2 linked regions of the Neurospora crassa OR74A genome follow. The protein of the gene in region 2 binds, or shares a complex with, the protein of the main gene of each other region. Links are inferred from orthologs where the notes say so. Each region holds a gene or a part of one and is shown on either strand. Other genes may lie near its edges.

Region 1 (3,012 bases), on a different chromosome or scaffold from region 2:
GTGCATAGAGGCGCGCTGCCCCTTACTGTTCGAGCATGCGATCGCGGCAAAAGTCTGGGCCGGTAGATGCTGTAGTCCGATGTCACTTTCCCTTGTGTGGGGAGAGGAAATGCGGGCGGATAGTGGGTGCGGTTATATGAGGAATTGGCGGGCGCTGTAATGGGAGGGGGAAAACAATACTCGACGGTTCGAAGAGGTTGGATTAGGTAGGTCGAAGTCGGGCAAAGCTGGTACTGACGGGAAGCACAACGGGAAGCCGAAAACTTGTTGATTTGGGACGGGGACGGGGGAGCAGGGCGATCAGATGCGTTATGTGTCGTGTCGTGGTGGACAGACTCGGCTCAGACTCGCGCTGAAGTTTATCGAAGCAGTTTAGGCAGTATTACAGGGAGTGTGGAGCGTTCTAAGTTCTAGCGCCCAGAAGCCAGAGTCCCCGAGCGCAACCCGACCTGGCTGCGACTGCACGGCACTCTGTAATGAACCGATTGGATGTTGGGGAGGATCCACTTCTCAAGGACGGGAAACCTTATTTGGAAGGGGAACATTCAACCGACTTGAAGTCATCCATGGCTTCCGTCCATAACAGAGAGCACTGAAAACAACTCAACAGAAGATATAATCAGAAAGGTACAGTCAAAGACCAGCGGGTGACACTTTTGGTACATGGGCTTTGTTCAAGACATGGAGGGTGTGCATAATGGAAAGTCCTTCCACGAATACCAGGCGATATATGATATATACGGAGAAGAGATAATTGAGCAATGTAAGGAGAATAACTGGATTGTTGCGGCTTTGTTCAAGGAGTTGGTCGACGAGTGGTACAGTAAGGTACTCAGACGTCGTCCAGCTCTGGTATTCTGAGCAAGTCAGTCATCCTTTCAACTTTGGCCATGTTCGTAAGCTCAAACTCACATTTTTTCTTGCCCATGTATGTTGAGTCGCTGTCCTTGAGTTCTTCCCGCGCCTCTTCAAGCAGCTTGTCGATGCCACGCTCTTTCAAAGCAACCTGTAAAATGCCATATGGTAAGCTATCTCGATGCTAGAGTACGGGCGCTGTATGGTTTTGCGTCCTACCTGCAGGCAAGAGCTATACTCCTTGAAGAGAATTGAACATTCGTTATTTTGTTCGGTACCATTGCCCCTAAGGTATTCTGTCCAGTATAAGTATCACACATGTCCACTGAGTTGGGGTGTCTGTTCCTGTAGACTTACTCTCACTGTACCATTTGAGAAAGCAAGTGTCGTAACGTCTACAACTGGTTAAGATGTTGTTTTCTTTCCGTATGAAGGACAAAAACTTACTCCTTGGCCTCGTTGCATTCCTTGGCGAGTGACTGGGACATCTTTAAAGTCCAGAGCTATGTTTTCAACCGTAGGTGTTGCCAACAAAACGATAGGCTTGGTACGGTGTCCGATGACTTATGGGTATCGACGGTATATCTATGTTTTGGGCAAAAGATCGTATAGAAGGGTGTTCGTGAGATACTCCAGGTGAATATTTTTGGTGGAAAAGACGGTTGTACGGAATCTCAAATATCAACGTTCACCGGTGAGTCCGCTTGGAAACCAACAAGTACCAGGTGCTATTCAACAATGGGGTTGCGGACTTCCACTTCGTCACAGGACGGATCTCAAAAGCCTGGACGCCGATGGATGAACGAACGTTGGTGGTCCAGATCAGCACAATCTTGGCTCTTGGCAAGCGCCCCCTTGGCCTTATGTAATCGGCTGCCCAAAGTCTCTCTACTTTAGTGCTTCTACTTCCCAGCATGGGCCATCAGGTACCTCTACCAGCGCAGAGCGGGAACAGCTCACTCGAGGCCCACTTGATGGCATCCATCGGGCAGCTTCCACTTTTCGAGGTCCCGTTCACTTTGGCGCTTTCTCCACAAGCCACATGCTGGGACTGTCCGCAAAAAAAGTTCCCAAAGAGCAGCAGAACGACAAACCATTTTTGGAAAATTGAACCGGGCTTCCACTTCCAGTGACGTCCACACCACAACGACTCCAGAACCACCGGCCAATATGGACGGCTCACTGGACTTCAAGAGCTTGAGGGAATCGCTCCAAGCCGCCCTGGTCGCTACGACCCGAACCGCCAACTCAATCGCCAGCGAGGATCTTCAGTTCCAGCGCACCGTCAACCCGACTGTCGGTGGTCAACTCGACAACAGCTCCGGCCGCCTTCTGTCCCTGGCCAACGGGCTCCTCAAGTCGACCGCGAATCTTACCGGCCAGAAGGTTGGCGCTCTTGAAGATGCCGACGACGTGGACATCCAATGGCGGAACATTGTCGACGTGATCGACTCGTTGCTCGAGAAAGCCGACACCTGCCTCGACGAGTACACCGGATTGATCAAGCGGAAGGATGCGCCTACCCCCGCCGACCAGGGCCGCGCCCAAAAACGCGTCAAGTCGTCTAACGATCGTCTTGACTGGTCCTTGAAGAGAGCCAACATTCTCAAACCACAGAATAACTTCGAGAAGAAGGTCGATAACTTCGCTACCGGTCCTTGGAAGCCTCTGTTGTCGTCCAAGCCTCATGCCAAGGTGTCACTGGAAGACAGCCTGACCACCTTTGTCGATGATGACAACAACACACAGTACGTCTAACCTTTCTTTCCAATATCATAAGAGCATGTCGCTAACATGAATCTCCCAGATACAAACACCCCTACGAAACCGAGATCAAGACGACACCGTACCCTGAGCATGTGTACAAGAAGCGCGAACCCAAGGAGTACCTTCCTATCGATTCGACATCCGCCATCTGGGTTGATACTTATGAGGGCGTCTTGGAGATGTTGGAGGAGCTCAAGCAGGCCAAGGAAATTGCGCTTGATCTGGAGCACCACGATTTTAGGTCTTACACCGGACTGTTGTCTCTCATGCAGATCAGTACCAGAGAGAAGGATTGGGTCATTGATACTCTTCAACCTTGGAGGCACAAGCTTGAGGTTCTGAATGAGGTTTTTGCGAACCCCAACATTGTCAAGGTGAGACACATCCTGG
Region 2 (4,024 bases):
CGTGTTTGGATCCATGGGCAGCGAGCGAGGCTTGACCTGGGTCCAGATCGACATGTCGGGCCACATGGTGCCGCAGTATGCGCCGTCGGCGGCGTACAGGCAGCTAGAGTTCTTGCTGGGCAGAGTTAACTGCTTGAACTGCACGGTCCCATTCACGACAGACCCGGATGCGCCGCAGAGCCAGCAGCCTTTGGGCGAGGGGACGGCGCCTCAGAGCTGGAGTCAGTCCCCGGGTAAGACGGGGAAACAGCATGGAGGTGGAAGGGGCAGGTTTGTCAGGTGAAGGGGGCGTAATGGTGATGAAGGTTATGATGGATGAAGTGTTTCGATACCAGTCGGTAAATGAGGAGGGGCTCAAAACGATCAAAAATTTTCTACATGTTGCGCTGGAAACCGGTCAGCACGTTGTAGAAACGGAACTTTGCCAGAAAACAAGATTGACAAGAAATGCTGAACAGTAATGCATCACGCTCGTGTTGTAACGTCTTCAACGTCTTCATCATGTCTCCTATTCGATTTCCTTTCGCACGATCAGTTCTGAGCCTTCCGTTAAGACCTATACGATATACATACACAATACACATCAGTGAGACATTCATTGCTAAAACCGTTTCTTTTTCATAACCAATACCAACACAAAGAGAGTGGAATAAAATAACACATAGGGTACACGCAGTCCCCTCATTCAGTTGGCTGACGCCGTAGTTGCCGGCCCCCTCCTTCACAAACTTCAAGAATGGGTACGCGGGTATATGCTCGCGTGTGAGCGTGTCGTGAGGATGACTTCCCTCATCGTATGCGACCCAGTGACAACACAGAACCTTACACCAACGCCATGCTAAAATCAACGACAATGTTGTAGTGTACAGCACGACACCAAGAAAGACAGCTCACAGAGATTGTGGCCTAACTCGTCTTGCGGTGCCGTGGAAAAGATGCGTCTTTCGTCCGCGTACTTCCACCGAGACTTTTTTGCCCAGATTGAGCAGAGGACAGGGTCGGATACGTCTTGATGATGCCCAATGGTGGACAAAGACGGTGGCAAGGGCAAGTAAACAAATCATAAGCTTGGGGAAAGGCCCCAGAGCACGACCGAAGGCCTAGATGGTCATTATAGCCCTAGCTCGGTAATTCGTTCAAGCCTTCTCCATGTTGCGTTCCCGTGCCATCTTTCTGAGCTCCAGGACGCCCATGATGCCCGACTGGCGAAGTCGCTCGAGAATCAGCTTCATTCCCTCTCGGCTCTTGCCAAGTTGGTCTTGGGTCTTCTTCGACGCCAGGCTCTCGATGCTTCGTTGAATACCATGGGCGCCAAGCCGGGAAAAGAAGCCGCCCTTCTCTTGTTCAACTTCATGCGCGTGCAAGTGTCCCAACTTGTCGCGAATGCGCTCCCCAAAGCGAGATCGAAAGACCACCGTCGTGGCAACGTCGGTCGTATTTCCAATCTCATTAGTGCTCGTTGGGATCGTATAGATCTGCTTCTCCACCACCGACAGAACGCCGGCAAAGTTCAGGTTCCGGCTCTCGGTCGACATCCAGCCCTCCTTCATATCCACAACGCTGGTCTCCATGATATAGGACGCCTTCTCGGTCGTGGCACCACCCGTAATGCTAGTGGGGAGCATCTTCATGATAGCAGGCGGCATACGCGACTTTTTGAGGTGGATGCGAGTCGTGTGCAGACGGCCGGTGGCCGGGTCGACATGTGATGAAAGGGTGTCGGTGCTCATGACATGCTGAGAAAAGGGATTGAGCTGCGGGGAGCAGTACCGGAGGAAGAAGGCGAGCGTGACGGTCGGGAAAGGATGGCTATAAGTATGGTTGGTAGTGTGCGTGAGAACCATTTTGACCGAGGAAGAGGGTGAGGATCGTTGCTAGTGCCGTATGGAAGATTTCGGTACGTATCGACTTGTCCAGCAATGGGACTATGAAGCACTCGAGTTTCGGATGACTGGTTCCTAGGGCTGGATGTGTATAGAAAGCACGGTTCGAAGCTAGGTAGGCTCGGGCGGATGGCCGACTCCAGATAGAATTGGTAAATAGCGGTGGCTTGCCTAAACGTGGGGAGTCTGGAATGAAGTCACTGGAGGTGGCGATGTTGTAATCGTGGACGTTGTCGGGACGAATCGTGTATGTAATTTATCTGTGAGAAGCGCAGCTCACGATCGCTGGTAAAGAGGTTTTGACATTGGAACGGAGCACGGCCACAGAAAGCTGTCAAATCCTCTTTTCCCAATTGCCGTGGTGCGATGATGGTAGTCTGAAGTTTTAGTACAGAGGTGCTTGTAGGCTGTGGTAGGTAAGGTAGGAAAGTTGGGGAAGGAAGAGCAAAGATGGTTGACGCGGGGCCGGCAGGATTTGTAAACTTGGGAAAAAAGGTACCTCTACTTTAGTACCAAGCCAGAGCCGAGAGCGACGGAAAAGCGATGATGAAAGTGACCCGACGACGAACCGACGGGATGGGCCGATGGAGGAGCCACACTCCCGCGGCTAGGTAGTGTATGTAGTTCTACGTAGTGTACCTACAGGGCAGGTAGGTATGTAGGTACGACTGGACCCGATAAATACCGGTACGCTATGCTAGAGGTAACGGGCACCGCTCCATTTTCCACTTTGCGGGAAAGGACTTTACTGTAGCGGCTCTGTAAGTGTAAGAACAGGGGAAGTGGAAATGGAAATGGAAGCAAGGTGCCCGCTGGGTTCTGTACACCTACCTCTAGTCGGGTGTTTGTACCTAGATGCAGAGTGGAGAATCGTGAAAAGTGTTCTGTCGTGCAGCAGTGCTACAACAATATCAGAGTCGGGTGGCCAAAGCTGGACGTATAAACAAAGAAAGAGAAAAGAGCCACAGATAAAATGAGGGGACTGCGCAACTCTGACGATCGTGGGCTCATTTGCTTCGAATGATCCAACGATATCGTCGAGCGTCTGGCCATTATCCTCGCGGGTGTGTAACACGGAACCAAGCTCCCACTGCTCACTTGTCAACGCAAGAAACATTGTCATCATCATCATCATGCAATCCTCCCCACCTAGCGCAAGCAGCTCCTGCAGCAATGCAATGCGCACCCTGCGATAACCCGGCCTGAACGTCCGCAATCGTGATATTGAAGGGGAAATGAACAAAGAACAAACTGGAAAACCAGAGGTAATTTCAAAGCCTGCGTGTGTGGTCATACCGACATGCTTTCACCGATTTAGTATGGGTATCATCAAATTTATGTTGGTACCTTTGCTTCCTTGGGCTTCTGCTGGTGGATGGTGTTTTCCACTGCCAGTCACTGCCAAGCAGTCTTCGGCTGGCCGCCAGTGCCGGGGTGATTGGCTTAGTCATTTACATAGTGTATGTAGAATACATCAGTGTAGGGCACGGGCGCAACTTGAAAAGTGGGGAGGCACCCGTGTCCCGTCTCGCTTCCTTCAAACGTCCGATGAGTGAGCTTCCTTCACTGCACCACACTTGCCTGCAATGCACAGGCTGCTTAGTCATTGTATCCGTCCATTCAATAGGCGCCAGCGTATGACATTCCGTGGGCCACTTCCATTTCAGCTGCCCCGAACCCTCCCGTTCATTTCTTCCTCCAGCAAAACTTTCAGTCCGCGACACCACGGCGAATCAATCAGTTGGCCATCACAACTGCATCAGCCGGCTTTCTATTCATCGATTCTGCTCTTTTCCCAGCGTCGCCGCGTCGCTCACCATTTGCGACAGGCTTGCTGCGATCCTTTACCATTCCATCAGCGCACCGAACGACAACCGCCGATCTGAGCCGAACGTGACCTGCGACGACGCTTCACGATACCACAGCGAAAACCGACACATTATCAATCCATCTAACGCGTGACGGCGTCCCATCATTCTGCCATCATTCGAATATCACCAGTCCGCCCTCATTTTGCTTTTGCTTCGCATACTGACAAGTTTCGAAACTCGATATTTTCTGGCTGTTGGCTCGCTGGGCTGGCCTGGAAGGTGATCTGAGTCTCTGGCTGTGGCGCAATTGATTTGATATCTGGGACGGGA

The links. Proteins that work in one complex are often made in the same cells at the same time.
Region 1: the proteins of NCU06719 (region 2) and NCU17251 are in contact, whole or in part, in a crystal structure (PDB 4XHR), measured with the Saccharomyces cerevisiae proteins. The link is inferred for Neurospora crassa OR74A from reciprocal best matches to the Saccharomyces cerevisiae genes UPS1 and MDM35. Residues at the interface, in NP_013294.1 of Saccharomyces cerevisiae: Phe15, Ala16, Ser19, Arg20, Phe23, Asn24, Tyr26, Pro27, Leu35, Ser36, Ile37, Asp38, Thr39, Ile40, Ser41, Arg42, Val44, Gly48, Asn49, Leu50, Arg51, Thr53, Leu55, Trp77, Ile79, Val81, Ser82, Val83, Val84, Pro86; in NP_012870.1 of Saccharomyces cerevisiae: Ser6, Ala7, Ser8, Phe9, Lys17, Tyr20, Phe24, Asn25, Trp27, Tyr28, Ser29, Phe32, Leu33, Val38, Trp46, Tyr49, Thr50, Val53, Leu57, Gln60, Ile62, Ala65, Leu66, Glu68, Ala69, Arg70, Glu72, Pro74, Phe75.

What each region holds. Positions count from the first base shown.
Region 1 is NC_026507.1:3,164,592-3,167,603, reverse strand, and holds NCU17251 (hypothetical protein), read right to left. Parts: upstream 1,664-3,012; 5' UTR 1,344-1,663; coding exon 1,303-1,343; intron 1,251-1,302; coding exon 1,213-1,250; intron 1,152-1,212; coding exon 1,075-1,151; intron 1,007-1,074; coding exon 913-1,006; intron 858-912; coding exon 856-857; 3' UTR 501-855; downstream 1-500. Other genes in the region: NCU02256 (exosome complex exonuclease Rrp6), read left to right, coding at 2,026-2,603, 2,663-2,996. UniProt on the Saccharomyces cerevisiae protein: Involved in mitochondrial distribution and morphology. Mediates the import of UPS1, UPS2 and UPS3, 3 atypical mitochondrial intermembrane space (IMS) proteins lacking the two major IMS-targeting signals, into the intermembrane space.
Region 2 is NC_026505.1:4,379,018-4,383,041, reverse strand, and holds NCU06719 (MSF1 domain-containing protein), read right to left. Parts: upstream 2,801-4,024; 5' UTR 2,715-2,800; intron 2,643-2,714; 5' UTR 1,845-2,642; coding exon 1,137-1,844; 3' UTR 416-1,136; downstream 1-415. Other genes in the region: NCU06720 (carboxypeptidase cpdS), read left to right, coding at 1-283. UniProt on the Saccharomyces cerevisiae protein: Required for maintenance of normal mitochondrial morphology. Required for PCP1-dependent processing of MGM1.